3 linked regions of the Nothobranchius furzeri genome follow. The main gene of each other region encodes a partner of the protein of the gene in region 2 in a complex. Links are inferred from orthologs where the notes say so. Each region holds a gene or a part of one and is shown on either strand. Other genes may lie near its edges.

The links. The genes of interacting proteins can lie anywhere in the genome.
Region 1: vti1b (region 2) and stx5a share a complex: the UniProt entries of both Homo sapiens proteins name them as parts of the SNARE complex. The link is inferred for Nothobranchius furzeri from reciprocal best matches to the Homo sapiens genes VTI1B and STX5.
Region 3: vti1b (region 2) and bet1l share a complex: the UniProt entries of both Homo sapiens proteins name them as parts of the SNARE complex. The link is inferred for Nothobranchius furzeri from reciprocal best matches to the Homo sapiens genes VTI1B and BET1L.

The regions. Positions count from the first base shown.
Region 1 is NC_091741.1:87,967,284-87,978,301, forward strand, and holds the start of stx5a (syntaxin-5a), read left to right. Parts: upstream 1-4,060; 5' UTR 4,061-4,179; intron 4,180-4,560; 5' UTR 4,561-4,718; coding exon 4,719-4,781; intron 4,782-5,127; coding exon 5,128-5,198; intron 5,199-8,554; coding exon 8,555-8,610; intron 8,611-8,698; coding exon 8,699-8,769; intron 8,770-8,878; coding exon 8,879-8,995; intron 8,996-10,847; coding exon 10,848-10,904; intron 10,905-11,012; coding exon 11,013-11,018. UniProt on the Homo sapiens protein: Mediates endoplasmic reticulum to Golgi transport.
Region 2 is NC_091758.1:18,875,974-18,887,026, reverse strand, and holds the start of vti1b (vesicle transport through interaction with t-SNAREs homolog 1B), read left to right. Parts: upstream 1-6,008; 5' UTR 6,009-6,140; coding exon 6,141-6,237; intron 6,238-6,335; coding exon 6,336-6,394; intron 6,395-11,053. Other genes in the region: rdh12 (retinol dehydrogenase 12), read right to left, coding at 758-967, 1,066-1,170, 1,244-1,399, 1,910-2,028, 2,577-2,650. UniProt on the Homo sapiens protein: V-SNARE that mediates vesicle transport pathways through interactions with t-SNAREs on the target membrane. These interactions are proposed to mediate aspects of the specificity of vesicle trafficking and to promote fusion of the lipid bilayers.
Region 3 is NC_091754.1:42,725,228-42,736,090, forward strand, and holds bet1l (BET1-like protein), read right to left. Parts: upstream 6,959-10,863; 5' UTR 6,732-6,958; coding exon 6,713-6,731; intron 4,423-6,712; coding exon 4,337-4,422; coding exon of another isoform or gene 4,333-4,336; intron 2,366-4,332; coding exon 2,309-2,365; intron 945-2,308; coding exon 777-944; 3' UTR 27-776; downstream 1-26. UniProt on the Homo sapiens protein: Vesicle SNARE required for targeting and fusion of retrograde transport vesicles with the Golgi complex. Required for the integrity of the Golgi complex.

The sequences.
Region 1 (11,018 bases), on a different chromosome or scaffold from region 2:
TGTGTGTGTGTGTGTGTGTGTGTGTGTGTGTGTGTGTGTGTGTGTGTGTGTGAGACATTATACATGTATTTAAATGCTCATGAAGCTATTTTTTGCGCTACTGTTGTAACACTGTTCATCAGAACATGCAGCAGTTTCAGTTAGTTGTTGCAAGTGTGCAAGAGCCACTTGAACAACATTTTATCTGTGTATTTTGTGCACACACTCTTCCTACCTGCAGCAGGACTGGTCTGCATTCAGTGCTGGTTATGTCCATATCCTAATAATACAGATGAAGAAGATTTCTGTCTCCGATACTCAGATTTCAGTTACAGATTAGGACGATGCTAACGTTTCACAAATCTGCACAAACTAAGGGAAGAAAGGGGTGGAAAGGATGGGCAGGATAAGAAAGAGGAAACAGGAGAGAAAGATGAGGGGAGCTAAGTGCTGCTACCAACCTCCCTGTCGAAGGGCACGAAGCCAGAACTAAATATAGCAGCAAGATTATGGAGACAGAGAAAGAGAAAAGGACAGAGTGAGTCATATGTCTCGATACAGAGAGGATGTGTCCCATCCAGGGTCTATTTTTTAGCACTTTGCGACTCTAAAACCTTCAAAATGATTGCTAAAAAGGAGCAGACGCACCATTGTTCTCTCCATGTTGTCATATATTTTATGCATTCATATGCTATGTCTCCTTCCTCGTCAGCCTCCCCACACCCACCCACCCCAGTCTGCACTTGTACCAGGACTTCCTGTATTTTTCCACCTTGCTTTTCTTTGCATTTGTTCTCACTGTTTTTCTAATAACTGCAGCCATGGTTTCCTCCCTGCTCAGTGTAGCAGCAGCTGTGTTGGAGCAGGTACTGGACGCTATCTGCTCTGTGACCATGTGTGTTGTTAGATGGTATCAGTGTGTGTGTGTGTGTGTGTGTGTGCGTGTGCGTGTGCGTGTGCGTGTGCGTGTGTGTGTGTGTGTGTGTGTGTGTGTGTGTGTGTGTGTGTGTGTGTGTGTGTGTGTGTGTGTGTGTGTGTGTGTGTGTTAGAGAGGAGTGCTGATAAACCAAACCAGGAGTGAAAGACTGGGATTTAGTCCATTGTTAACACGGTGAACACAAAGAACTTTTTTTGTTGTTTTGCAGGAAAACAAAACTTTGTTATCTTCAGCAGAAATGTGGATCCACAGACCTTGTCTGTCCCACTCCACAACTCCACTGAAGCACACTGAAAAAAAGATTCACGTTCTTCTCACTACATGGGAAACAGCGTGCGCAAAATAAACATGCGTAGAATGGAGCATGGAGATGTCTGCCATGATAAAGAAATTCCTGATGGTCATCTGTTTCACTATGTTCAGCGTATACAATGAAAATGTGACATGTTCACAGACTGCACCCGCTACCACTGCAGACGGAGTAAAGGTTAAAACGACAGGAGTTTTTTTTTTTTTTGTTTAGGATCATCTTCTGGATGCAAATGCACATGTTCCTGACCCAGAGACTTTTAACATATTCAGTCAAAATCAATGGATAATATGTAATATACATGACACATGTAAGAAAAGGGTTTCAGTTATGGCTAAAAGACGAAGAAACTGTTCTTTTCTGACCTCATATGGGCCAACGTTAAGAAAGCAGAGGAGTTTCCCGGCACGATTAAAGTGCGATATAAAGAGCGATGGAGACCATAGCTGAGCCGATGAGGGTTGGTAAATAGTTCTGACAATATGTTGGAAAGTTGGGAGGGGTCACTGTTGGGGGGTACAACAGGTAAAGGGTGAGGACATAGCTGTGGTTTAGACATGCTTGATCCTGCCACGAGGAGGATGCTGGTACCAGCAGAAGCAGAAGAACATCAGAGTGTCTGCTGGATCTTATCTTCATCGTTCCATACCATACCTGCAAGTCGACTCACCTGAGGTACCAGCCAATCAAATCCTCTGTTTACTGTTTTCTCCCTTGTTCTTAAGAAGGCAAAGGTTAGTATGTTCGTGACATGAGTTAGAATATTTTATTTGTATTCAAGTAACATGTACCCTACTTTACCGTACCATGTTATTTATAGAGTGCACTTGACACGGTGCTGCAACTGACCAAAGCGCTGCAAAAAATAAAGCATCACAAGCAGAAATCATCACGTGTGTCATTAAAACAATTAAAAAGAACAACGAAGTAAAATCAATGAAACAAGGTGAAACCACAAAATACCAATCCACAGATTTAAAATTGAGCAACCAAGGTGGAAAGAAGGATGACAAAGTATGAGTTAGTGCTTCATGGTTTAGGAGCTGAAGGCCAGGGAGAAGTAGTGTGTTTTCAGGCGTGATTTAAAAATGGTGATAGAGGGCACTTGCCTGACCTGGAGAGATCGTGAGTTCCAAGGTTTTGGGGCATAGAAAGAAAAAGCCCTTTCCTGCGGGTCTTCAAACGTGCCTTAGGGACGGTGAGGAGGAGCTGAGGAGGGCAACCAATGGAGAGAACGGGTGTAATATGCTGTCTTCTATCAACTCCAGCCAGGAACCTTGCTGCTGAATTCTGGCCAGAGTAGCTTTACTGGTGCCATAAAGGCAGGAGTTGGAATAATCTAGCCAAGATGTAATGAAGGCATGAATCACCGATTTAGAAGACGGGCACTCAGGATGGGCTTTAATTTAGAAATTTGTTGAGGTGGTAGAAGCAGGACTTCACTGTGCTATTGACCTGAGCCTCCATCTTCAGAACCGGGTCCATTTTTACTCCGAGGTTGGAAACAGTAGAAGTTACATTAGGAGGATGAGAGTGGTCAGGTGGCTGAGTCGCTCTAACATTATCGGGACTAAAAACAATTACTTCTGTTTTAGAGTCATTCAGATGAACACAGTCATACAGAGGTTTAGTGGAGTCAGTGGGTTTAAGCAAAACATAGATTTGGCAATTGTCTGCATGTATGAAACAGCATGCTGTTTGAGAATGGCTCCTAAAGGCAGAATGTAGAGGGAGAACAGTAATGGGCCGAGAATGGAACCTTGAGGAACCCCTTCAGGGACCGTAGACCAACTGGGATGAGTAGTCGTCCAGCCTGACCCTGAGGGTCCTGTTAGAAAAGTAAGAACTAAACCAGTCAAGAGCCAAACCTGTGATGCCAGCCCATGTGTGTAGTCTGGAGATCAAGATGTTATGATCAATCAGAATCATCTTTATTGTCAGTGCCCCAGCGTCCCGAAGCACAGAAGTATGGCTCGGCAGTACAGCCTGACCAGATACAGGCAGACCACGAGAGCTGCCATTCAAGGCGCTCATTAGATCTAAGGCTGCTGATAGATCAAGAGGTACCAGAACCACATGGAACCCTGAATCCAAAGTCAGAAAGATGTCATTAAACACATGAACATGAGCAATTTCAGTGCTATGCTGTTGTCTAAACCCAGACTGAAAAATGTGCATTACTTGATGGTAAATGTGTTAACTGTTCATGCACAGCTTTTTCAAGTACCTTTGATAAAAATGGCAATTTGGAAATTGGTCGAAGATTAGAGAAATCAGTGGGATCAAGACCAGGTTTTTTCAAAATCGGCTGAACAACAGCATGTTTGAATGCACTGGGAACTTCAGCCAAGGTCAAACTACAAAACTGTATTTTAATATGTTGAATTATTACCCAAGTAAAGTCAGACCCAAACCTGGTTGAAATCTATTACATGACACACAACTCAAAGCTGACAGATAAGTAATTTACTTCAAACATAAACAGGGTAAAAATCTGCTGGATCTAATGTTGAATATGCTGAGCAAGCAACCTGTAATGTGGCAACTGAGTGCTTTTTACCACAATAGTTTTCCCACTGACAGATCAGTCAGGTACAATTTTGAATTATTTGGGGGTTTGCACATATGAAACAACATGCCTATCTGCAGTGACTTTGCAAATTTAAAAATTCGAATAGATTTAAATGGCTGGGCCCTGTTAAAATTAAACATTATTTTATTTGTGCTGATCTTTGGTGTTTAGTCATTTGCTACATTCCTCTCATTAAGAGGGGGAACATTGCCCCCTGGTGGAGCTAATCTGCACCTACGGGGATTTACGTCTCAGTAAAGTAGACGTGGCAGTGACGTCAATTCCGGAAATGACCCGGATCGGAACTTTAACTAAAACGGTCGGTTAGTTCTTACCAGAACATCGAGTATATTCGATAAAAATGGTGTGATGCCGACTCAAGTAAGTGAAACGAATTGAAATATGAATAATCTTCATGTTTTGAGTTTAGAGCGCAATAAAGTTCGGTTTTAATGGTGACGGAACCGGATGAAAAGCCTGTAGCGTTCTTTAGCAGATGTTAGCCGGTGGTTAGCCGGTGAGGCCGAGATCAGCTGTGCGTCGTGATGGTTCTCGAAGACTTTGGGGGTAATAATTATTACCTAATGGTATTTATATTTTGCTCTCACGTGGGAATGTTTGTGAATTGTGGTCTTTGTCATTTACCGCATTGTTGCTGCGATTTAATTGTTTTCGTAGTCGGGGCTAACGGTACCGAATAGGTATTTTTGATTAGTCTTTTCATTAAGCTGTTCACCAAAGATCCTTTCATTGTTTTTGCAGACATGTGTGTGCTTGTGCCGATGAAGGACACACCACCTTGGATGTGAGTCTGTCCCCCAGATCAGAAGGTCTCCTTGTTTATATTCATCAGGCAGACAGACGTTAGGAAGAGTTTTTCGGGTGTCCACAGCAGGCTGGTGACACTGAGCTGCGTCAGAATGACGTGCCGTGACCGAACCCTCGAGTTTCAGTCAGCCTGTAAATCTCTACAAGGCAGACAGGTATGTTTGAGTGAACTACGGCCACCATTAAGGTGTACACCTTAAATTCACCCTTGCTTTCATGTTGTGAGTAAATTGGAATGCATTTATAACAATGATTCTTTTGGTTTTGCTTTTTGGTGTGTGTGTGTGTGTGTGTGTGTGTGTGTGTGTGTGTGTGTGTGTGTGTGGTTTTGGTTCCACTTTTTTATCAGTCAGGTGATACTGTATACCTCCACAAATATATTAGTTACAACAAAAATGTTTAATTAATAATCTAATAATATATTTTTATTTATCCACTGTGTGGCTTCATACTGTTGGTTTAAATCTAACATTTTATTCCTCATATCCCCCCACATGTCAGAATGGAGTCCAGCCTAGTAAACCTGCTTCTCAGTCTCTCAGGCAACGCAGTGACTTCACACTCATGGCCAAGTAAGAGCTTTAGAGGTTTTCCTACATGTTTTATTCATGTGTTACAAATGTTCTTTTTACTGATACCACAGCTACTTTAGTTTTGAGTGTTCCAGATGATTCTTAACCTGTCTTAAAACTCTCAAGAGTGGTTGAGATAAAAATTATTTTTTATTCTTTTTTTTTTTTCTCCTGTCCTGTCTGGCTGTGAAGCAAACAGAATTAATGTCTGAATGCTGGAGACAAGCCTTACAGATTTTACTCTCAGGTGGAGCATCAAAGCTTCTGCTTTTAATGTCATGTCTGATACTTAAAACTTTATTGTTAATGTTTTTCGAATGCTTTGTAATTTCGACCGGACACGGAGACAGAGGTGAAAGAGAAAGGAAGATACAAAAGGGGAGGGGGGGGGGTCCACGAAAATAAACGATCAATGATGAACAAGAGTCTGCTTCTAGACCTGCAGAAAAGGGACACACACAACAATACAACAGGAGCAAGCTATCACTGTTTCAACTTGATGAAGAAATGTAAAATCAACATTGTTTTATTGAACAATCACACGATAATAAATTATAGTGCATTTAGTGCCAACCACAGCCTTAAGACATGTGTTGAACGTGCCCAAGTTCCAGTGCGGGCATCGTCTGGCCTATGCCAGCTGATGCCACCACACTACCCCACTTGCACCCACAGCCCTCAGTGTCTAAGTGCTGTTTAAAATTGGAAGTGGTCACTGGCACTCGGGATGAGGCTGAAAAATCCCCCTGCCAAATGCCGTTGAATGTGCTCACTCCCAAGGCCCTAAGTGTGTGCTTGCGTGGAATGTCGTTGGTGGAAGTAAGGTGCAAGTAAAATTGGGGGGCAGGTTGCCACAGGAATGCGGAAATGGGGTCCATACCTGCACCCCCTGACTTGTCCACCCTCCAAGGTCCTATGTGCATGATTGTGTGATGATGTGAGGGAGCAGGAGGAGAAAAATGTGTGGGGATGGGGAGGAATTGCTGGTTGGACTTAAGCCCTCCAGGGAGCCAGCTCCCCCACTGGCCCCGATAGTGGGGGAGCCAGCTCCCCCACTGGCCCCGATAGGCACCTCTGTTGCCAAAATGTCACCCAGGACATGGAGACCCCAGCCCATCTTGCCAGGGAACCAAAGGAGCAGCATCACATCCCTGCATTTGCACAACTCCCAGAATATATAAGACATTGGACATTGAGGTAAGGTTGGGTCCTCCCCCTCCTGGACATCCCCCTCCCCTGTGATGGAACAGCAGAGGAGCCGAGGTCTACCTGAGGCCCCTGAACCCGGGACAGGCACTGCCGCATGTTCCTGCCTTCTTCCCGGCAGCATACATGTCAGGACCCGACCCCCAAGGCCCCGCCCAGATCCCCACACCAGGCCGGCCACACCCTGAGCCCCCAGGCCCCCACCCAGACCTGCTCAGGGGCAATGCAGCTGCCAGGCAGCGACCCATGGCCTCCGCCAAGACCCCCAAGGGACCCCACTCACAACCGCCAGTAGTCCACCCCCCGAGGTTTTATTCTAACACGTGTTAATGAAGCAGAACCCAGTGTTTCCCTTACACAGGCATAGGTGGCGGCCCGCCACGGCTGAAATCCCAGCGCCACGCCTACAAGATCCCAAGTTTAATTGATTTTTTTTTTCTTTGTGCCATTTCCCGAAGAAGCAGCGGGAACTACTCTGTTGTTGCTTGTGATGAAAGCCGGCAGGCAGCAAGGAGGAGGAGGCAGGGCAGGGTGGTTACAGATAGGGCGGATAAAGCATTTTTGATGAATACGAGCATGAAACGAGTAAAACTCATAAATATCTGTAATCGTGCTGAAAGAAAATACCCATTGGGTAACTGTCTTCATGCTCCGTGATTGGCCAGTCACATAGAGCGTCCGCCCCTCCCTACACACAAAACTCTGCAGCCGGGAGCTCAGTCCGGCCCAGGCATCCACGCACACACACAGACAGTAACGGATCTCTCTGTGATTGCTTCACTGTTGCTCACGTTTCTTCAGTACTCCCTAGGTTTTCTTCAGCTCGCCTCTTTTTCGGTTGAATATTTAAAGTTACCTTTTCCGTAACATACGTGGTGCATTTGACAAGACAGAGCTGAAAACGGCTCATGCTGCGTCGGTCACTGCCTCATCTCCGGTCGGGTTTTTTAAAATTATTTTAACTTTCTCTCTCTCTCTGTCTCTCTCTCATACACACACACCTTAATCAACATTGTTTTGTTTAACTTTGTGTGGGGAAAATGCCAACAACGTTAGGAAAAAATCAGTTTAATCAAATTAAAATAAAAACATTAAAAAGGTTTGTCTGGTTCTAGTATTTTAATTGTTCTAGTATTTCAATTGGGGTCAGTAGTTCCTACTGCATGAGTTTAGATGTATTAACTCATATACTTAAATATTAATGTTCTGATTTTACTGAAAAACTTGTTCTTTAATAGTTCCTTTACTATTGTGGTCAAAAATATTTAATCTAAATTCTGAGGCTGCTCTGTAAATAGTTTTCAAATAAACACACATAGCAACTTCTGATCAATCCATATCAATTTCAGATTTAAAATAATGTATTGATGTAAACCACACCCACTAATTTCCAAATAATAAGTAGGAGTTGCATTCATCTGTGTATCTCCTTTGACATTAGTGATATTTTCAGCACCAGAACAATGAAGCAAAGAAACCGATTCCTGAGTTTATGCTAGTAATTTTATTTATTAGGTGCATCTGACCTGTTCTATTTTTCTCTGAAATGAGATCAAATCAGTGCTTCTATGGGTTGTCTCCTCTCTGCACTAGAAAAATGTGCTTCATTATAATGATCACTGTAACGCATCTTGATGTTCTTAACAAATAAATTAAATCAAAGATATTGGTCAATAATGCCAAATATGTAAATTTGTGTTTCAGTCATTTTTATACTGACTTAAAAATACTTCATTAAGTCGACTAAGCAGGGGTGTAGAACGTTTTTAATAGGGCCAGCCCAGTAATGATCTCGGACCAAAATAAAGGGGGCAGAAAGTCAAATAAAGGGGGGCAAAAGGAGATGTTTTTCCAGACGCCAAGAAAAATTAAATGCCAAATCCCCCCTGCAAAGTGTGTCACTGAGAGTTTAAAACAAAAATTATTTTTGTGCAAATATTGGTGTATTCACCTTTTAATACTAGTTATTAAAATGCAGCAGTTGCTGGATTGGTGCAGTTCAAAGTGGAGTGCATCAAATAAAACAATATTAACATAAAGGTGAGACGTGTCATAATCCCCACCCACCACCACAACCACCACAGCTAGAAAAATTTCTAGGGGAAACACTGAGAACCAAAAGTAAGTTTCATCTGCTTGTTTCTTTGCAGGAGGATTGGGAAAGACTTAAGCAATACATTTGCCAAATTGGAAAAACTCACAATTTGTAAGTGATGGTTTTGTCATTTCTGCAGAAATAAATATTTTGTTTTCCGAAGTGCTGATTTTTGCGTGCTATTGCTTTGTTATTTCAGTGGCCAAAAAGAAATCTTTATTTGATGACAAGGCAGTGGAGATTGAGGAGCTAACCTACATCATTAAACAGGTAGGTTGAAGTTGCTCTCCAGCAGGTGTGAGGTTTATAAATGTGTATTAAAAATATCAGTTTTTGTTTATTAAAATACTGACTTTTTCATATGTTCTTCTGTCCAAAGGATATCAACAGCCTAAACAAACAGATTGCACAGCTGCAGGACTTGATCAGGTCCCGCAGTGCTCCTGGTGGCCGACACATCCAGACCCATTCCAACACTATAGTGGTCTCATTACAGGTACATTTTGTGTATTTGTAATATCTGATCTGCATATGGTATATTTCATATTTGTTCAAAATAATGGTTTAAAAAACTTATTTTAAGGTCTTATATCATGCAAAATCTACTTTTTGAGGGTTTTGACCATGTTATATTACTTCCTCATGAAAAACAACCCAAATTTATTTATTTTTATGCATGTGTGCATGCATTTTTATGTCGAAGCATTTTCTTTCCTTTAGCTCTGCAACTTTTTGCTAAGCTGTTTCATGCTGCTGGGTGGGTTATTGCTATGTCACGACTTTATTATCCTCATCTAGGTGGTTTTGAGTCTGCATCCCTCCTCCCCTGGACTGTAAACACTAACACCCAGTCTCTCCATGTAGCTAGCAGAGACTTTAATCTCCACAGTTGTGATTTCTTTCCTGTCTAGTCTGCACTTTAAATAATGCAGTCATTGAGTTGCACATGTCAGCTTGAACCTCTGGTCTCCAAGTCTGCAGCTGTGTGCTAATTTGAAATTCACATTGCAGGAAGCAGGGTTTGATTTAATCTGAGCCTCTTATTTCTGGGTTGAAGTAATGGCTCACAAAAATAACTTGTACTTTATAAAAAAAAACATCTCGATAGTGCTAACGGTAATGTTTCATCATACCTACCAGGGTTTTTCCTGCCTCAAATTGAGGCAGAGGTGGTACCACCCTGACCATGTGCCAGCACATGCATACTCTGTGCATTCAACTGCCTCACTTTTTAAAGGCAAAATATTATAAAAGGCTCAATAATTTTAGATTAGTGTTTAGTTTCCTTTTTCCCATCTGATATTTATAGTTAAAAATATTTTTAAATATGACCTATATTTCAGTAACATTTTAGGTTTGTATTAATAACACTCATCTTAGTCAAAATAACACAAATATATCCAGTAAAATATAATGCATTTCATTAACATGCATTTGTATTGGAAATGGTAATAACATTTAATTTCTGCTGCTAACAATGTAATGGTGGCATGTCTATTATGTACGGGTTAGGGTTAGGGGGTGTTCCGTTTTGCCTTGGCCCCCAAAATGCCTTGAAACGGCCCTGGGCGTGTGACTGAGTTTTGAAGGTGATCTGAATTGTATCAGATGTACAAATATTACATGTGGATAACTTATTGTTTTATACTGGTAAAAACGTGTAGTGGAGATAAATCTACGTACGTTTTACTTTCAAGCTTTGTTTTCTTGTTTTTATTTGACTATTGTCCTGTCCTGTCTGTCTCTCATCTTCCTGCATCTCCTCTAAATTCTCTAGAAAAGCTGCTGTCTGGCTTCTTACTTTTTCACCTCATCAGTTACTTTTGAACAGATCAAAGGGATCTCCTGACCGCAAAGCGTAGTGCGCATTTTGATGCTGCGTCAGTGAGGTGAAATCACCGCAGCACAGGATGAGCGGAGCGTGTCAGGAACGATTAAAAGACAGAGTACCAGAGGATATAAACAGATATGAATAATCATGTGTTAATAATAGTTTTGTTGTGCCACCTTGAAAATGTATCGTGTGGTGGACGCAGCGGGCGCACCAACGATCAGCGCTCTGCGTCCTCTCCACTCAACATGGATGTTAAAATAACATCCATATAGCTGGGGGCAGAGTGAAATCAGGATGGGGCGGCAGAAAAATAGCTGGAGGCGGCCGCCGCACAAATTTGAACGCAGGAAAAACCCCGCCTACCATTGCATTGGAAGGTCTAAAATGGCATGATACAGGTCCTTTAAAATATCAGATAAAAAGTTTTCATCGCTTGTATTTATTACGTGCTATGCTTCTTTAGATGTGCTTTCAGCTGAATGATGGACTTGTTTTTTTATGTTTCTATCTGCAGTCCAAACTGGCATCAATGTCAAATGACTTCAAATCAGTCTTAGAAATCAGAACTGAGGTGAGAATGTTTCCATGTTATTACGAGCAGAAAACACTAGTACTGGTGTTCTAGAATGGGAGTTTTTAATGTAATTTAATTCTGCGTCGTCGTACGTCTCCTGTGTAGAACCTG
Region 2 (11,053 bases):
AGAAAAAAACGCAACAAGAAAAAATCCTTTAAAGGCCAAATTAATGCAACACAGTTTGTACACTTTAACCAATTCCTTTAAAGTTTACCAACTTCACACAAGACAGCACTCTGCTGACCAGAAACAGCACGTAACAGTTTAGTGGTGCGTGTAGGTATCCTAGGGGGCGCTCTTCACCTGATTAACAGCTATTAGCTATTTTCTGTGCCAGTAGCTAATAAAAGGCTAGCAGTTAGCTTTTTCGCCAGTAGCTAATAAAAGGCTAGCAGTTAGCTTTTTCAGACCATCAATACAAAACACAAGAAGAAAATAAGCTAGCTTTTTTGGGGAGGCATCGTGGCTGATCCTGGAAGTAAAAGTCAGATATGTCTTCAGAGCTGAAGCAAAGAACTAAAAACAAAGAGATAATCAGCATGGCTTATGCTCATTTAAGGACCTAAAGGAGACTATGAAATCACGGCCTGATGGTGACCTGGATTTGTAGCAATAGTTTTTGTCCAATAATGTGGATCGTTTTAATTTGTGGTTTCTGCAGCCAGGCCACACGAGGGCGGGATGTCCCAAAGTACCTTCGTTGTACCGAGTGAATCGACTGAAAGGGAACAGTTTCTCAGTGACCTTGCTGTTGAATAAAATCTGACATTTGTATAGATTATCATTTTTTTAGGTTTGCCACTCCCTTTCTTTCTTTTATCCATCTTGCTGGACTGGGTCATCTGTACTTTCACCCAAGTTTACTGCAATAGTGTTTGTTTACCTTTTAGTCTGCGGGAAAGTTCTCTGGCAAAGAGCACATTTGCCAGTTTGCTCTGGCAGTAAGCTAGACCGCTATTGTAGCTGCCCTGGCTATGAAGGTCATGGAAACGGATCCAGCCAAAGTTATGTGCCAGAGAGGAGACCACCACAATGCGGGCTGGTGCGCTGCGCTTCAGCAGCCCTATTAGGAGGTATGTCAACAGGAAGTGGCCTGTGAGGGAGAGAAAGGTGGGTATTTCAAACACAAATAATCCCAAAAGATTTAGTTAATCTGGAGTGTTTTGGTCCAGCTGAAGCCCAGAGTCTAACCTAAATGATTGACTCCAATGTGCATCTCAAAGCCATCAATAGTTTTCATATAGGGGCACATCATCACTCCAGCATTGTTGATCAGGATGTGAAGACGGTCGACCTCTAAATAAAGCAGAAGAAGGTTGAACAGCAGTAACTTTTACATAAATATAGTCATCAGACTCTCTGCACACACCTCTCAGGAATTTCTGTGCAAATGCTCGTATGGAGCAGCTATCAGCCAAGTCCAGCTCTCGAACTTCCACTTGTGCTTTGGAGTACGCAGCTCGTATGCTCGCAGCGGCCTCCTCGCCCTTTTCCACGTCTCGGCATGCCATTATCACTTGGGCACCTGTGATGTTAGAAATAAAACAGCTGCTTAACAAATGACTTCTCCGTCAAACCCCTTTTAGAAGTGTAACAATGTGTTTTGTGATCGGCCAATGGGATCACTCAAATGTTGGAATTTTTAACTTTTTAATCGTTTTTTGGCAGGGCTGGCCTGATTGCACCCCTGCCATGCAGCAAAGAAAAAAATCCAACACTTTTCCTGCTTCGTATACTCAACATTTTTTGATTTAACTCCTGCTAGCCTCAGTGGACCTATAACGCTTTTCCTGTATTTCACTCTCTCTCCCACAGAACAAAAAACATGCATGTTTAGGTTGATACTGCGCCCTCTGTAAGTTTGGATAAAATCCTTTTCCAAATGGGTAAACAAAGTTTTTTGTAACTGTATCCGTTCAATGAGAACTAATCTGTTTTTCCAAACTGAGGTTTCTCAACATCAATATTCATGACCTTTCCCCTTTTCAAATGATGTGAACTACTGCTTTAACAGAGGCTCCTAATTCTAGGCCACCTCGCATTGCCAGGTCCAGTGCGGTCTCCTTCCCAATCCCAGTGTTTGCTCCAGTGATCAGAACCGTCTTCCCATCCAGCCGAGCTGTGGATTTGCACTTTCTTCCAGCAGCATATCTTCTGTTTGAAACACAGTAATAATTTAGAACAACACACAAAGATGTAAGTATTAGAATAACCAGTGATCCGTTATGCATCCAGTAAAAGCCTCATTAGAACTGAACATTTGGGCTTCTGGCTTAATTATTCATAGAGAAACTTGTCAGAGCGGTGCTGAGCGTGAAGTCGTGTGACCCACGCCACCGAGCCGGTTCCGCCCCGTGCCCAATGGCACCGCCGGAGTAAAGCGCACAAATAGAACTCCTCCCACGCTCCGGCTCCTGATTGGTCCGAGCACCTCAGGTGGAAGACCCCCCCTTCTTCCTCCTCCACCGCTCATGTTTGTGCAAAAACTCAAATCATTTTATTAAAAAAATCCTTTATGGCTGTCTGAGTCGTTTCTATAAACACCGAAATAATAAACGAGCGCTCTAAGATCCTATTGGCTGTGAACGCACGTGAAGACAACAGAGTAACAACATGTCAGCCCAGAAGTAACAAGCTGTCCATGGTGAGCAAAAACACGGGATTTTCATGAGAATTAACGACAGTCCTGATCGGCTACTCACCGGATGTGTGGAGCGAATAAAACCACCAGCAGCGTCACCACTCCGATACCCGCGATGATTAATAAGAGGATCATGGTGCTGCGATTTGGCGCTTGGCTGAGAGGCTCCCAGCAGGATGCTGCTGCTGATGTGTAGGCTGAACAGCTGATGTCAAACGTTGAGAGAGCAAGGATCAGCCAAACACGCGAACAGCATTGTGGGATTGTAGTTTTCTACACTGACGAATACCAGAAAACGTACTGTCCACTCGATTTTGACTCACTTTTAGTGTCACGTGTGAGGATTTCAGTTTGACCAATTTATTTTTGATACTGCCAATCAGTAGTAGCTTGTTTAAATAAATGTTGAAAATTTTTTTTCCAACACACAGGGTGTGAATGTGTGTGTGAATGGGTGAATGACTGATTGCGTTGCAAAGCGCCTTGGTGGGTTCCAGGATTCTAGAAGGCACTATATCAAATACAGACCATTTACATAATTGTTTTAGTTGCCATTTCATATCTTGCTGTTCTTTTTTTTTTATTCTTTTTTTTCGTGTCCTTTCTGGCTGTGAAGCAAACGAATTAATGTCTGCATGCTGGTGACAAATTCGGAGACAGAGGTGAAAGAGAAAGGAAGCGACAAAAGGAAGGGGGTGGGGGGTTCCACAAAAATAAACAATCAATGATGAACAAGAGTTTGCTTCTAGACCTGCAGAAAGAGCCCAACACTGAGCAAAGCAACCCATCACGCCAGCTCCCCCTCCTAGCCTCTAGCCATGGGAAGCCAATAAGAAGAAGAAAGTATCATTTATATAACGCCTCTCGAGATAAAAATCACAAGGCGCTTCACAAAAACAAAAATTGTAAAAATATAAAAAAGCATTTAGAAAATGTTTAAAAATGTATTTAAAATGAGCAAAAATAGGCAATTGTGATTAAAAATGTTGAGAAAGAGAGAAAGTGAACAGGAAAGAGGGAAATCAGTGGATCTTGAGGAAGGTGGAATAGGTGGGGAGAGCAGAATAAAGAGAGAGTGGTGAAGAAGGTCATACAAAAGCCAGCTTGAACAAGTGAGTCTTCAGCTGCTTTTTAAAGGAGCCCACTGAGTTCACTGATCTCAGGCTCAGGGGGAGAGAGGTCCAGAGTCTGGGGGCCACAGCAGCAAATGATCTGTCACCTTTGGTCTTTAGCCTGGTGCTGCACAACCAGTAGGCTTTGATCACTGGACCTCAGGGACCTGCTGGGGGTGTAGGGACTGAGAAGATCACCAATGTAAGATGGTGCTTGTCCATGTAAGGCCCTATAGACCAGAACCAGGGTCTTGAAATGAACCCTGAAGTTGACTGACAGCCAATGAAGCTGGAGGAGAAGCGGGGTGATGTGGGTGTGTTTGGAGGACTAGGTCAGAAGCCGAGCACAGACATTCTGAACCACCTGTAGACGGTTCAGGGAGGTTCTGCTCAGACACGTGAAAAAGCGACAACACAGGTGTGCTAAGACCCCTAGTCTCCCTCTGCCTGCTCCAATACAGTGTTAGTGTGTGTTGATGAGGTGTATTCCATGGTTGTGGTGAGCGGGCAGTGCGGGCATCGTCTGGCCTACGCTAGCTGATGCCACCACACAACCCCACTTCCCCCCACAGCCCTCTGTATCTAAGTGAAGTTTAATATTGGAAGTGGGCACCGGCACTCGGGATGAGGCTGAAAGATCCCCTTGCCAAATGCCGTTGAGTGTGCTCACTCCCAAAGCCCTAAGTGTGTGTTTACGTCGAATGTCATTGGTGGAAGTGCTTAATGTGCAAATAAAATTGGGGGGCAGGCTGTCTCAGGAATGCGGAAATGGGATCCATACCTGTACCCCCTGACTTGCCCACCCCCCATGATCCTATGTGCATGTTTGTGTGATGATGTGAGGGAGCAGGAGGAAAAAAAAATGTATGGGGATGTGGAGGAATGGTTGATTGGCCTAAGCCCTCCAGGGAGCTAGCTCCTCCACTGGCCCCAATAGGCACCTCTGTTCCCAAAATGCCACCCAGGGCATGGAGACCCCAGCCCACCTAGCCAGGGCCCAAAGCAGCAGCATCGCAGAGCCCTACGGAGTCCGAGGGCACCAACCCAGCCCCACCCCAGCAGAATATCTACTCCCATCCCTGCATTTGCACAACTTCCAGAATATGTAAGACATAAGACATCAGGTAAGGTTGGGTCCTCCCCCTCCTGGACAACCCCCTCCCCCGTGATGTGACAGAATTGTTATTATTTCAGAGGAGCCAAGGTCCACCTGAGGCCCCTGAGCCTGGGCCAGGCACCGCCGTGTGTTCCCGCCTTCTTCCCAGCAGCATACAAGTTAGGAGCCAATCCCCAAGGCCCCGCCCAGATCCCCACATGGGGGCCAGCTACCCCCACACCCTTAGCCCCCAGGCCCCCACCCAGACCCACTCAGGGGTGATGCAGCCACCAGGCAGCAACCCATCGCCACCGTCAAGACCCCCCAAGGGGCTCCACTCACAACCGCCAGTAATCCACCCCTCGAGGCAACCCAAGCGCCTCCAGAGTGGGACAGCAGCCCCCCAGCCCCAGACACCCCCAGTGAATCCACCTCCAAGGAACGTCCGGATACTGCAAGCGCAGACCCTCCACCCCATCACCCACATCATCCCGCAGGACAGTATCAATGACAACCCCCCCCCCCCCCCCACACACACACACACACACACAATCACCTCTATGTGATGGAACCGATCAAAGGAGCCCATATAGATTGATTTGAAGTGGAAGAAGAGGCTGTCTCAAGTGTAATATGATCCAACAAAAGATTTATATACTGGTTAATGCAAAGAGTATCTCTATTTTTCCAATTCATGAGGATAGTTTTTTGAGCGACGCATATGGCAGTCAGAACCACGTCAACCAAAGGTGTTTCAATCGGGACATCATCCAGGTATCTTGCTATTCTTTATAGGTAGCCTTGTATCTAAATAGTAAATAATTTATAAAACAATAATTCTGTACAAAATTGATTATTATTATAATGTATCTATAATTTAGGCCCATTATTGTTTTAGGAAATAGCCTGGCTAGAAAATAATGTAAACAGACAAAGTAAATGCACACTAATATAAACTTCGTTCATTTTTATTTAATATTGTAGTGACTAGTAATAGTTTATCTTATTTTATGATGTTTCAGTTGTCTTTTAACAAATGTTTCAAATCTTTTTTAGAAGAATTAGCGGAAAAACTACAGTTCCCAGAGACCGTTTAAAGCTGTCTACCTTCGTGCCTGAATAAAATACGTTAAAATAACTTGTAAGACATTTAAATAGTGTTAAGCATATTGATGGTATTGTCACATTCATCTTCAGTATTGAAATAAATTTCACCGAACGTTTAGCATGTGAATACTTCAAATTTGTAGCAATGTTGTAAAGTTTAGGCACTTGGTCACGAGAGTCGTCATGCGGCAGCGGAAGAGTCTCATCGAAGCACAAGCAGTTGATCCACTTGTGTAGTTCGTTCCGTCCTTTAAAGAAAAAGGTACAGGTGGCCTTTTTATGACAGACAGCGAGATTACATTGACGGAAAATGTCGTCGGAAGAATTTGAGAAGTTACACGAAATCTACAGATCCTTGTATGACGAGCTAAAGCTAATCCCAGAGAAGGCTCTCAGCTGTACCGGAGGTAAATAAACCCGTTGTTCCCTCATTTAACCTCGTTTAAGTGTCAAATAACAAAACCTTCTTGGTTTAAACCTCGAACTTGTTCTGTTCCTAATGCAGAGGAGAGGAAGAGACTGGTGAGGACCTTCGATGAGAGACAGGGGGAAGCTGATGAAGTGGTAAAAACGTTTGTTTACGTCAACATCTTCACTTGTTTCTGTTTGTTATTTATTAACAGTGAGTGTTATAAATAAGGCCAAGAGTTTGCTGTAATTATTACCGCAAAACATCAACATAAGTACAATGACTGGCTGTGATGCTAAAGCTAATGTAGCTGAATGCATCTTGTGTGTAAAAACCATCGACATTAATATATGGACAATGGGTTTCCATAGACTCCAATAACACGTTTTTGAGGCTAAATGGGAGGTGGCCACCACCGCCATTTTGACCGTGTCACAGGTTCCGTCAAGCCCAGACAATTCCACAAAAGGGAAGAGAGGAGGAGCTGAGGGTGGGGCTGTAAGGCTGGGATCAACTGACAACACCCGGTCGAGCTATCTACAAGCTAACCTGAAGCTAACCCAAAGCTAATGCGGATGTGGGAGCTAAGCTATCGGAGGTAGCAACCTAGCTACAACTGGAGTTAACTGTGCACAACACCAGAGCTTCTGAGTCAGAGGTACGCCGGGCTGACCGCTGGGTAAAATACGGTGGAACCCAGAGGTCTCGGAGACCTCCACAAGCCGGCAGCCGCACAGTACACAGAAGCCGCGATCAGACAGATGCGTCGAGCTGCTGGGAGAACCAGCCGTCAGCTCGCTGCAGCAAACAGAAGCTGCGATCAGACAGATGCGCCGAGCTGCGGGGAGAAGTGGCGTATTTTGGCGGTTCTGGCTTGCCATAAGAACCAGCCGTCAGCCCGCCGCAGCACACAGAAGCCGCGATCAGACAGCGATGCGCCGAGCTGCTGGGAGAACCAGCCGTTAGCCCGCGCAGCTAACAGGAGCCGCGATCAGACAGAGATGGACCAGGCTGCGGGGAGAAACAGCCGGCATTCTGGGTGGAAAACATCGGTCTCCCGAGAGCTCCACAAGCCGATAGTCGGAACCCAGCTCCACCAACATGTTATATTTCAACCCATTTTCTAAAGTGCAGCATTGTGTTAAATGCACTGGGTTTTACCCTATTACATTTAAATTTCATGGTTAAACAGTACATGTTAAAATCTAAGCTCAGCTTGGCAGTGACCTAAAATACATAAATATAATTTTACTTACCGAAAAAAATGAAGTGGAGACTCCTTGGACGCTCTATTAGTGCAATTAATGCCACAGCAAGTCATTTTGTCCAACAATTGCACAAAAAATATCCAAAAAAGAATACACAAACACAGAGACTCAAAATCCCGGAACAGTTTCCAAGCCAGACTGAGGCTCTACTGAGGCCTTTCCACGGAGCTAGCTCTGTGGTCACGTGTGTCGGATGCTCATTAATTATACAGAATTTTAGGCTTTTAATACACTTAAACAGAAGAGTGAGAAAAAAAATTCACCCCCCTCAGAGTTGTCATGAGTATAAACTAGATCATTTAAACAAAAAACATGTTTTGGTACCAGGCTGTAAACATGTTTATTTCTGCTGTGAAATTGGCATTTTTAACATGGGAGTCAATGAGGATTTGCTCGTTTCTGACACCAGCCCCCAGCGGATGAGGGTGGAACTGCAATTTCTCTTACTTCCGGGTTGGCCTCAAATTTAAAGCCACATTGTGGGGGCCTGGTAAAAACGCAGCTTTACACTTTAAGCAGAGAGGTAGTGCAGTAATCATTAAATCAAAAGTCTATTAAACTTCAGTGTTAAAAACACAGAGGAAGATGCTTAAATACGTGCCTCACACTGCCAACTTTATTCGGTACACCTTGTATCTGCAGGGTTAGATCAGAACTACCTTCTCTCTTCATGTCATTGATCCAACAAGATGTTGGAAACTTTCCTTAGAAGTTCTGGTCCATATTAACATAACATCACACAGCTCTGTTCATAAGGAAAACCTCCTACTCCACCACATTCCATAAGTTCTGGACTGAGATCTGGTGACCGTGGAGGCCGTTTTTGTCCAGTGAACTCATCGTCATGTTCTAGAAACCAGTTAGAGATGCTCTGAGCTTTGTGACATGGTGCATGATCGTGCTTGAAGTAGTATCAAAAAATGGGTCCATGTGGTCATAAAGTGATAGACATGTATGGTCAGCAACAAGGTTGTGGTACTTAAACTAGGCTCAGCTGGTACTAAGGGGTCCAAAGTGGGACAAGAATGCCACCAGCAGCAGCTTAAAGCATTGATGCAAGACAGAATGGACCCATGCTTTCATGTTGGTGACACCAGATGAATTGAAGCCTCAGTATCCTTTTCTTAGCTGACAGGAGAGACACATTGATGTGGTTTTCTGCTGCTGGATCTGCTTCAGGCATCATCATGTTGTGGTTCAGAGATGCTGTTCTGCAGACCTTGGGAGGAACGAGTGATTGTTGGAGCTGCTGTTGTCTTTTTATTTATTTTTTTACGGTGTCCTGTCCGGCTGTGAAGCAATCAGAATTGATGTCTGAATGCCAAAGATAAGTAGTATTATTAATTGTATTATTTAGTCTGGCAACGCTCTAATTATGGCTCTCAGTTGTGGGGCAGGTTCAACCGTTGTCTTTCAAATGATCTCCGCATGCTACTGGACAATGAATGTGACATACTCTTGTTTCTAGGGATGGGTACCTTTGACATTTGAATCGATTCGGTACTAATTCCCGGTACCTACGAATCGATACCGGTACTTAACGGTACCAATTTTCGATACTTTTGAGTGTTTATTATTTTAATTCTCTTTTATAATTAAATATATATTTTTCTCAATATATAACAACATTTGACAAATATCACGATAAATAACATTCAACTGTTTGTATTAACATTGTCCTTGTAGTTTTATAAGCTGATAATTAAACTGAAGCAAACATCTTTACTGTGAACTAAATTTACTGTGTATCTTCATTCCTTTTGCCGTCTTTTTTCATTTAATTTTTCCTACTGGGAAGTTAGAATTTCCGAGGAGAAAGCGAACGCACCATTAGCTGATAACAACGGTGGCAATGGAAGCTAACATATCAAGCTAACGTTATCTTTAACAGTTTATTTAACTGCTGGAGCAGATTAAAACAATAATGCCTCACACTTAGATCGTTGTCACTGGTTTCATCTTCACCCAATCACCCGTCGCATTTAGTAAAGTGAAGCCAAACTTTAGAGCGCGTTCATGTTCTAGTTGGAAATTCGGAGTTCCGAGGAGAAAGCGAACGCACCATTAGTGAAACGGAAGCTAATATATCAAGGTAACGTTATCTTAAACATTTTATTTACCTAACGGAGCAGATTAAGATGAGGATGTCTCACTTAAATCGTTGTATGTCGCTGGTTTCATCATCACCCAGTTACCCATCACATTTAGTGAAGTGGACCCAAGCGTTAGCGTGCGTTCTTTCTACCATGCTGCTCTGTTTACAACACGCTCGCAGGGACCGACGACATAACGCTCTTGCGCATGCGCAGCTGTCTTGGCAAGTTCTCGTTATGAAGGACGGGTACCAAAACGAGGCACCGTTTGAAACAACGTGAATCGTTGCTCGGTCGGTACCTTAAAAAGTACCGAATTCGATACCCATCCCTACTTGTTTTGCTCTGTTGCATCATCCCACCCACCAGGCATATAGAGTGCCCTGATTGGCCCACAAAGCGGATAAAGCTCTGTGATTAGTTCACTAAGCAGATAGAGCGCTATGATTGGCCCACCATTATGGACCAATCACAGCTCTTTATGTGTTTGAAACCCCTCTAGAGAGCTGTGATTGGCCAGCCTGAATGCTGTTGGGGCTGCAGAGGTTCCAGTGGAGCGTTCCTAGACCAAACTTTGCAAAGCAAGAATTTGGTCTAGTTCACTAGGCTAAAAGACAAGCCTTACAGTTTTACTTTCACAGGTGGAGCGTGATACCAAAACTTTACTAGAAATATTTTCGGTTGCTTTAAATCCCAACTGACATGAGGACAGAAGTGAAAGAGAAAGGGGGCGAAGCGAATGAAGAGGTGGTGGCAGCTGTTGTCTTTCTATCATCAGAATCCACTTTATCAGCCAAGATTGTTACACAACCAAGGCATCTGGATACACTGTCACATCACACCAACAGTGTGGATATCAATGACAAAGAGTACAATATATCTGTTTGTACAGGCAGTTATTAAAAATATATAAATATTAAAAATAAAAGAAAAAGGCGGGTTTAGTTTGTGCTGTTTGTCGATTGTTTCACTGGAGAATTGCTGAGTATTCTGACTTTCGCTCCCTCCGGTTAATAGACGACACCACGGTTCTTCATTCACTGATGGATTTATTCTTCCTTCACACTTCTCCTCCAAAACACCATTAATCCACCGTCAAACTGTCATTACACCAAAGTACAGAATAACCAAACATAAATATTACAAATGAACATTAACCCAAGTTAACAAGTACGCTATAAATAAACACAGTTAACGTACCTCGCTGGCTGCACGTAACCATAAGGGAGTGAATCCGCTTCAGGAACAAAACTTAACAAAGGTAATTCGCTGGTTTCTTCTTCGTCTTCTCTACAGCTTTCCCTTACTTTAAACTGCTTATTTATTCATTCCTGTGACTGCGTAGGTTATAGCTTAGCTTCTTTTCACATGCTCTTTTACTTCCCTTTCCGTCACCCAAAATGGGCCGTGCGCAACACAGCATGAAACTTACCCCAAAAGAAACAACAATAGA
Region 3 (10,863 bases), on a different chromosome or scaffold from region 2:
TTTTAGATGGCAAGGAAACAACTATAACATCTTAAAATGTTTTATTCAGTTACTAAAATAAAATCATTATTTGAGTCACAGTCGTGAAAATAAATATATTCCTTCTTTACTCAAAATGCAACCAAATGGATCCGTTGTTTATATAAATCCCATAATAGGTACAATACCACCAAGTCTGCAACCAACCCTAATAACAGTCTTTAAATCAATGTCATTCATCTGTGATGAGAAAACTTGCTGGAATACACAATCGTTTGATGACTTGAAATGAAATTTGAATGAATAAAGGGCCAAATCATCTCTATAAACCCCAAACAGGATCTTAACATTAATGTTAATGCCAGAGACGTATTGACATAAGCATTGCAATAATCCATAACTTATAGTTTCAATGCAAATACATGAAACATGAAAGAGAACCCTTAACCTCCAAAGACTTGAATAAATCTAAGATTCATCAGAGATGCTCTGATTTGAACTGGTGTGTGATCAGGAGCTGAGACTCAGCTGTGTTGTACCAAAACCAGATGTTTCTCCTTCCTTCTCTCGGGATGCAGGGCAGGTCAAAGCTGGTTCTCCACAGAGGGAAGCTGTTTTCATAACAGGATCCACCACCGTTCCTCCCATCGAGCGAGCCCACACCACCTGCTCTACATTAGTACTTCCTGTTGACATCTAACGTTTCTCTCTTTGGTCCTGATGAATGAAAAAAAAAAGTCTTCTTTGCTCGAGATACAGAGCTCACTGGAGTCTGGTGTGGTGGTAACAGTCTGGTCTCAGCGCTGAATCCGGGACACCAGGTAATAAAGAAGAAAGAACACCAGAACCAGACCCATGGAAACGTAACAGAGGAGGCGGCGGTTGTCTCTGCCAGATCGGACCATGGTGGAAAAACGCTTCACGCTGCCGCTTAACAAGCCCGTCGCACTCAGGAAGTTTGAGTCCTAAAGAGGAAGAAGAGAACAGTATTTACAGCGAAGCCAGGCCTGTTTAACTCGACTCACTGACAGTGTAGAATTCCCGGTAAACATTTGGGATCATCTATCCCATAAAACTCTCTCACTCATCATCTAAACCACTTATTCCTTGTTAGGGTCGTGAGGAGCTGGAGTCTATGTGCAGTAGCCACTGGCTGAGAGGCAGGGACACCCAGGTCAGGCCTCCAGTCCATCACAGGGACACGAGACAAACGACCACCGACTCACTCACTCACTCACTCACTCACTCACTCACTCACTCACTCAGAGACAATTTGGTCTCCACTCAACCTTCTGAAGACCAGCTCAGTGGCCTAATGGTATGAGTGTGTGCCCTGAGACTGGGAGACTGCTGTTCAAATCCACCATTATGAATGGGTTAGTGTTATTGCCGTCATCATCTTCTTCTGCTTATACGGGTCCGGAACGCGGGGGCAGCATCCCAACTAGGGAGCTCCAGACCGTCCTCTCCCCGGCCTTCTCCACCAGCTCCTCCGGCAGTACCCCAAGGCGTTCCCGGACCAGATTGGAGATGTAACCTCTCCAACGTGTCCTGGGTCGACCCAGGGGGCCTCCTGCCATCAGGACATGCCCGAAACACCTCCCCAGGGAGGTGTCCAGGAGGCATCCTGACCAAATGCCCAAACCACCTCAACTGACTCCTTTCGATCCGGAGGAGCAGCGGTTCTACTCCGAGTCCCTCCCGAATGTCCGAGCTCCTCACCCTATCTCTAAGGCTGAGCCCAGTCACCCTATGGAGGAATCTCATTTCGGCCGCTTGTACCCGCGATCTCGTTCTTTCGGTCATTACCCAAAGCTCATGACCATAGGGGAGGATTGGGACGTAGATCGACCGGTAAATCCGGTAGTGTTATTGTTCCTTATATAAACAGTGGATTCATTCGGGTGTATTTTGATTGAAGCCGGCTCTGTGGAGGCTCGGAGAAGCTCGTCCTCCACTGTGTTTGGCGGCCTCTCAGCCACACTCGGCTCCTCTCGTTCTCCAGAATAATGGACGAGGCAGACTTGAGAAATGTTAACCAACGTTTGACACTCAGCATTAAAGGTTTTGTTCGATTGGGGGCTTAAACAACCCAATAGTTCCAGAGCACAGCCGCGTCTGCAGCTCAACACTCCACCTGGGTGACGACTAATGGGACTTTAACGTTTAAGTTCTGCTTGAAAGACTGTAGGCCTTTGAGACAGTGCTTGTTTTTATTCCTCATCTTGAAAATCTACTTTGACTAGTTTTACTAAAAATGTTGACTTTAATCTGGAAATAAAGTCCAAAATTTCCATCAAAGACGATGTCAGCCACAGATTGGACCCACCATGCCGTCTAGGTACTCGTTCTGGTCGTCAGCCTCTCTGTCGATGTCATATGCTAGCTGCCAAAAAGGAGACAGAAGATCAGAGGTTACAACAACTTTCAACTCAATCCTGTTTCCACTCTAGCTGGGGCATTCTGGTGAACAAACATAAATACAAAAACAATGCTTTCATTATGTCTTTGTGAAAATGCAAACCCCAATGCTGTTTGGTAAATGTTATTCATTTTTAGGGGAAGGCAGCTTTATTTATACAGCACATTTCAAACACAGGGACAATTCAATGTGCTTTACACTTAGCATGAAATGGCACGACAATAAACACGAGAACACAGATACAATTATATTCTAGAGCTAAAAGGAAAAGACAGAGCTATGGTTGAGCAATTACATCAGAGATTACAGTGGAGACGACCCAGCATAAGAAACAAATCATGTAAAGGCTGATGAGTACATTCGGGTTTTTAGCGTTAAACAACACTAGAGTTGGGGCAGATCTGAGGTCATGGGGAAGCTGGATCCATATGTGAGCAGCATAGTAACTAAATGCATCTCCACCATGTTTGCTTCTGACCCGAGGTTCTACCAGCTGATTGTTTCCAAGGGATCTCAGAGCCCTATTGGGTGTATATACAGGAATGAGATCTGACATGTATTTTGGCCCCATGCCATTGAGTGATTTATAAACTAGTAGGAGCACTTTGTAGTCTATTCTGTGGTTTACTGGCAACCAGTGTAGGGATCTAAGAACAGGAGTTCTTGTTAAGACTCTGACAGCAGCATTCTGAACTAGGGTTGTCACGGTAACCGGTGTAGCGGTAAACCCCGGTAAAAAAGTTGACAATAATAATAACCGTCTTGTTTTTAAAAAACTATATTATCTCGGTGGGTTACCTGGCTGCGGTGTAGGCTCGGTGACCCTTACCAGCCACCGTATCATCTGCTGAAGTTGCCGGCGGCACATGCGCGCTTTGTTGTTTACAACCAAAACTTTCTTGAAGCTAAAGCTGAAATAACGGCCAAAGGAGGAGACGGCAGCACTCAGGACATTTATTATCCCTCAAAGAAGACAAAGTGGGAAGTACGGGCATTTTTTGGATGTTTGAAGAATGCCGAGGGACAGTTGATAGAAGACGGCTATCCTGTTTGCAGCACGTGCAGAAAAAGTGTCTGTGAAAGGCAGCAACGCTTCAAATGTCATGACACATCTGCGTGACCATCACCCACAACTCTACAGTCAACGCAAGGCAAGCTAACGTTAGCATTTTAGCTCAAATGCGTGATCCGAGGATTTGGGTTGAGGGAGAATGCAACGAGTCGCTATATAAAGCAGCCGCAGCGCCGCTACCTGCATATAAACCGTGTCGCGGACACCCCCATGTTGAAATGACGCTATGCATTACGGGGCTCCCAGGGGCAGATAAGAGTTGGTCTCTCTCCGAGAATAATTATGAATTTAACAACGATTACTGCCTGATGACATTTTCCCAAATCTGCAAAGCTCACTGGAAGGACACAAACCGAGGACAATATTTTCCTGAAATAGGGTTTATTATTCAAGTAAGGGTAAAAAAGTATCTGATTAGAAGGCTACTTGAGTACTGAGTATCATCTGATCTAATATTTTTAAATGATGACATCAAACAGACATAAAATAAGAAGTTATGGGCAAATATTGGTATTTTAAAGACTAAAGGAGAAAAATGTAAACAAATAAACAACATAATTACAAAATAACACATTTTAGGCAAAATTTTGACACAAACTGAGGACAATATTTTCCTGATATACAGGGTTTATTTAGTTATCTGAAAATGTAACACGTTAACAAAAATACAGCGATAATACCGAAAACCGTGATAATTTTGGTCACAATAACCGTGAGGTTAAATTTTCACACCGTGACAACCCTACTTCTGAACAAGTTTCAGTTGCTTCACAGCTTTTTTGGGAAGACCAAGACTTGCTGCTGAGAAAAAAGTGAGTTTGACAAACACCTAGAAAAGCTATCAACTCATCGGACTCACATACAGATTTGAGTCTGGAGACTTTGGTGGCCAGATTCTCAGCCATCCGTTTGTTTTCAGCATCCAGCATGTCGTCAACTGAGCCGTGACCTGAACAAGCACAGAAATACAACCTGTCACATTTCTGTGATGGTTTCAAACATCTGCTTTATCACACTAACTAAACGTCTCGTCTGTAATAGATTTAAAACAATGTTAATACACAGATCTCAATAGTGTTAATTCCATTCGTTCGTAAGGAATACTTTTTCCACACAAAAACTAAATGAGAATTGAAATAAAAGGTTGGATTAAAGACTCAAAGGATCAACATGAAACAATGAAAATCCAATGAGAGGACAGGGAAGATACGAAGAACGAACAAAAGAACCAGTCAGCAAATGGAACAGGCAGAACTAGAAAAGAACCAGTCGAAGTCCGAAGCTTGGTGCTGTTTGAACAAGATCCTGTTAAAGTGACAGTGTGTAGTTTTCACCTTTAATCTCTGGAAATATCCACCGAACTGTTGTCGTAAAAGAATTAAAACAGTTGTTGAAAAAATATTGGCAGTTTAAAAACAAGTTACCATAAAGATCTGTTGTAAAATACATTGGAAAGGGACAGAGGGTGTTTCTCAATGCCAAGGAACCTCGCCTTGATGTCTTGACCCTGCCCCGGTTGCCTAGGAGATACGTCATCAGGAGCTGCCAAGACGCGTTCCAATGTTCATGTTCTACCAAGGCGTGTGTTCTCCGTTAGTTAGCTGTTTAGCTAGCTGAGCAAGGATACACAGAAGGTGTCTTTTAGCCTAGCCTTGGCAAAACTTTCCCAGAATACACCGCAGTATTTTCAAAAGCATGGCGGATCAAAAACCGGCAGCTACTTCGGGGGCAAATTTCAAGTTTAAAAGTAAGAGAACTAATTTAAAATGTTTCTTTTTTAGATCCAACGAAGTTATCTATTGTTGGTTGGCTGCTTATTAGTTGCAGCTTCGGTGGCTAGCGGGTAGTAACTTGCTTATATTTTTAATTTAATAAACATACACAATTTTAAAAGTAAACACCTCGTTATATATTTATATTGAAACTAATACGTATAAAATATATCGTTATGTCCCGTTTCATGTGATGTTACATGGCTGTCGTGGAAGCTGCGGTCACGTGATGCAAGTCTGTTCCATTTAAACGTTTTCTTTGACCAAGGAAGAACAGTGTCCTCGTAAGTAAGGCACCTGGCCTAGCAAGACATCGCCTCGCAAAGCCAGGTGCCTTCACATTGAGAAACACCCTGTCACCGAGCGATGCCATATTGGATGCCATGTTTCCTTCTACGGAAGTCTGAGGACAAAATGCATTTACTGATATGTGACAAGTGGTTATAAACTTTGAGCATTAATACACATTGTTGCTTTACACATTTACCTCTTCACTCGTTTAGTGATGAAAGGGAATCTGGTGTTATTTTGATGGAGGTTGCACTCCCAGGGATTTTTGACCCTAAGTGCCATCAGTTGGTAAGGTCTTATTTGAACACAAAAATAATGCTTGCTTGCTGTGATTCGGGTATCTACTGCCCCCTATCGCCAGGAAAACTACACATGGTCACTTTAGGCAACAGCTGAACAATTTATGTCAAAAAAGGAGAGAATGTCCACGGCTGGGAGGAAAAGCATTAAAAGTGATGATCTGGAAAAAAAGACTTCTGGACAGAAAAAAAGCAAGGACACCAACTTTTACTTTGAAAGTGTTATCAGTTAAAACTGAACTGAGATCAGAGTCAGCAACAGGATCAGAACATAATCAGGTGGGAAACAGATTAGAGTGAAACATGCATTTCTTCAAGACGTGACTGATAAAGGTGTTCTGTTTTATTTTTCTGTCTCTGTGGTGCTGTGTGACCTGTACTTACATGTGTGTACTGCTCCGTAGTAAAAGTAACATTTAAAACCTTTTTTATACTAGTGGTGCGTTCAGGAAAGGTTTACTTAAAGGAAACCCCGGTTATGTTCCATAAAGACCATCTTATGTCAGCCAAATTATCCAAACAAAACTAAATATGAAAAGTAAGCCTCAAATCCTGTTTTACTGTTGTTGTCTGCCCTTTCACCATTTAAATGAAAGTCAACCACGAGCTAAACCTCCGATTGTCTTTTCTTTATTCATAATCTGAGAAACGTCCCGTTTTTATCGCTTTATCTGCTTTGCTCAGCGAAGAAGGTGTTGTTAAACAGCTAGTGCTAGCCTCATGCTAGCCCAGCTGGGGGTTCGGGCTCTGAACCGTTGGTTCTGATGTCTGCTGACGTCACAGTCCCCCTCGCACCGCTATAAAATGGCATTTCAACCATCAACATCACAAATAAACTATAAGATAAAAGTGAATACGTGTCCAAATTCAAACCCACCTCTGTTCCAGTCCGCCATGTTGGTGAGCTACGTCACGATCAGGTGCTCAGCCACGTGATCACCGCCAACAGTCTAAGGACAGCTGTGGTAGGTTGTCGTATCATTTAATCAAAACAACCATCTATTGTCTTCTAGAATTTTTTTAATTAGCCAGATTTTCTATTTATTGTTCAGAACTAAAGTTGAAAACATTTAAAAATCATACTTCTATAACAACTAAATGATAAATGCCAAATGAGCAAAGAACACGTTTCTTAAATCAGTCCCTCCCTGACTATACAGATGATTGCAATATTTTGTGATAATTTCAGGTTTAATATAAGTTTAAAGTGACAGTGTGCATTTTCCCTGGCGACAGGGGGCAGAAGATACCTAAAGCAATGCAAGCAAGCAGTATATGTGGCCGTGTTCCAGATAAGCCAGTTCTGTGCAGATTAGATCAGCGGTGATCGGCGAGCTGTGCATGGCGGTTAGATTTGTGTCCAACTTGACGCCGACTTGGTCTGACGTCATGCATACGTAGGCAACGATAACCTCGTGAGATCAAAGTGGCCGCAGATTTTGGAGCAAGGTGCTGCAGTTACTCTCCCTCGGCTGCAAAACCTTGGGGTTGACGGGAAACGCCTGTCTCTCACCTGATCTAAGATCTGATTGGTTCATATTTTGATCCGAACATCCGGTGGTAGAACATAAAATGTTAGTTGGTCACATGTATTCTGTGAATCATGTTATGCTGATGATGACAACAATATAGGCCATAAAGAGAAATGTGTTTTGTGTTCTTTTGTCACGTTTCCTATGAGCACACTAAATCTACAGCTGATAACCTTTACTTATTGTTACAGTCATGTCTTCATATACAATATATGATATCCAGAAGCACGTGAGGATGTGTTTCAGCTGCTAACAGGCACCAGAATTAAAACTGAAAATTAAACAAGTATGAACGCTAACGCGATGTGTTCATCCGGTCGTCACCCATGAGCTACACATGTAGGGAAATTGAGGTTTCCGTTCAGCCCACAGCACAGAAACTGCCCTGATCCGTGTTATGAATGATTTACTTCTAACTGCGGATCAGGGCTCACCATCTCTCCTCCTCCTACTGGATCTGTCAGCGGCGTTTGACACTGTGGACCATACCATCTTACTAAATCAACTCCAGACTGTGGTTGGCCTTTCGGCAACCACACTACATTGGTTGCAGGAGTACCTTACGGGCAGAACGGAATTTGTAGCTTCAGGACAATGTCAGTCATCCCCCTACACTGTAAATTGTGGAGTACCACAGGGGTCAGTTCTTGGGCCAAACCTTTTCTCCATCTACATGCTTCCACTTGGACAAATTTTCCATAAATACAAAATATCGTTTCACTGTTATGCAGACGACACTCAGTTATACATGAAAATGGACTCCACTATACCTAAAACTCTTCCATCTGTACTTCAGGTCTGCCTGGAGGAGATGAGCATAACAGCATGGATGATCGCAAATTTTCTTCAACTAAACAGTAATAAAACTAAACAGTAATAAAACGGAATCTATCATTATCGGCACTCCACATCAAACACATCAAACACAGTCTCTCTCCCTTAGCAGTAATTCCATTTTCGGTCATGACATTCCCCTTTCCTCTACTGTAACAAATCTTGGTATCAGACTAGATTCAAATCTTACATTTGACACCCACATCCGCCACCTCTGCAAGGTCTCTTTTCTCCACCTAAAAAACATTGCTAAACTCCGTCCCTCTCTTTCTCAGCCAGATGCAGAGAAATTGGTCCATGCATTTATCTCCTCCAGGTTGGACTATTGCAATGCCCTCCTCGTTGGGGCCCCCGGCAAGAGCATACAAAAGCTCCAGCACATCCAGAACTCAGCTGCCCAGGTCCTGATGAGGAGACGCAAATACGATCATATCACTCCAGTTCTGAGATCACTTCATTGGCTGCCCATCCAATATCGGGTTCAGTACAAAATTGGCCTTCTTACTCACCAGTGCATCCATGGAACTGCTCCTGCCTATCTGAGCGAACTTCTCATTCCACACACTGCCACAAGAACCCTCCGATCTACCACCTCTTCACACCGCCTGCACCAACCACTGACTAAACTCTCCACTATGGGAGACAGGTCCTTCAAGGCAGTGGCCCCTCAATTTTGGAATTCTCTCCCAGAGATTCTAAGGGCCACACAATCTGTGGAGCTTTTCAAAAAAGGCCTCAAGACCTTTTTGTTTAATAAGGCTTTCTAGTGCACAATGATCTATTGAGTGTTTTACTTTATTGTGTTGTTTTTACTTATTGTTTGTATCTACTGTAATGACTTTTTAGATGGGTTTTATCTATTTCTGGGGACTGTTTTTATTTTCCATATTTGATAGTATCCTGAAATTTTAACAGTTTTTAACTAGCTGTGTACCTTATACCTGTCCCCTATACTCTATAGCACTTTGAGATTACTTCTGTAATGTAAAGTGCATTAAAAATTAATTGTATTATTATTATTATTAGGGAAATCTGTCCGACTTAAATGCCGGCTTTCCGCCACTCCCCCTGCTGCTTCCGTCTGCTCTCGTCTGTTTTCCAGGCGAGGCGCTGTTCAACTTGAACAAGAACTTTGTGTTCAAGTAAGACCTTACCAACGGATGGCCATTAGGGTCAAAAAACCCTGGCAGTGCAACCTCCAGAAAAATGACAAGCACATCAGACTCCCTTTCATCACTGGCAACAGGTGAAGAGGTAAATGTGTAAAACAACAATGTTTGTGAATAGCGACTGTTTTGTAACCATTTGTTTCAAAACAGTAATATTTTGTCCTCCCAGGCTCCTGTAGAAGGAAACATGGGGTGTGTCCGAATCCACGGGAAGGATGCTTGTAAGAGCGCATTTTGAGGTTGATGACGTCACAACGCAGCGACGAGTACTGTCCGAATTCCAAGAATACTCATTCTCGCGTCCTCAAATGCGTCCTCGCTCCACCCACATTTCGAGGACGGGTCTGTTGTATCCTCACAGAACAAGGTTATCCCAGCATGCTTTGCGCGCCGGCTGTGGATTTTCAACAGGAAAAGTAAATGGGGAGAGCTACGAAGTTTTAAACGTAAGTTTGTTAAAAACTAGCCGTAGAAACCTAAGAAGCTTAAAGCGGTTCAGTTTATAGACATTTTCGTTTGTATATTAGTTTTTTAAATTACATTTTAGGCAGAAATCATCCAGAACGAGTTTGTTTCGCAGGTCCCAGTTATTCCCGTGGGTGTGTGTGTAGCGAATTAAACTTGTCCTTTGTTTTGAGGACAACGGAGCAAAGAAGCGTTTTTTATTAAGCTTAGAGGTGAAGAGTGAAGCTGTTTACACACACAACAACAGAAGTTCTTTTGTGAAAAGTAGTTTTACATTCAGTCCCGAGAGCAGTGGGGGACATTGACTCCGAGTGGGCCTTGTTCCACTTTACAATTGTTGAGGCAGCTGTTGCTAGCTGTGGTCCCAAGGTGGCCGGTGGCAGTCATGGTGGCAACCCCCGTACCCCCTGGTGGACACCAGAGTTTTGGGGAGCTGTCAGGCTGAAGAAGGAGGCCTACAGGGCGTGGCTGGTCTGTGGGTCTCTGGAGGCAGCAGACAGGTACCGGATAGCCAAGCGGGGTGCAGCAGTGGCATTTGCCGAGGCAAAATTTTGGGGGCGTGGGAGAAGTTTGGTGAGGCCATGGAGAAAGACTATCGATCGGCTCCAAAGAGGTTCTGGCAAACTATCCGGCGCCTCAGGAGAGGGAGGCAGCAACTCGCTCACACGGTTTACAGTGGGGATGGGGAGCTGTTGACGTCAACTGGGGCTATAGTCAGGCGGTGGAAGGAATACAATGAGGAGCTCCTCAATCCCACCTACGCGCATTCCGAGGAGGAGCCAGAGCCGGGAGACCTGGGGATGGACTGTCCAATCTCTGGGGCAGAAGTTGCTGAGGTAGTCAAATGACTACGCAGCGGCGGAGCCCGGGGGTGGATGAGATTCGACCTGGGTATCTCAAGGCTATGGATGTTGTAGGGCTGTCGTGGTTGACACGTCTCTGCAACATCGCTTGGTCATCGGGAGCAGTTCCTGTGGAGTGGCAGACCGGGGTGGTGGTCCCCATCTTTAAGAAGGGTGACCTGAGGG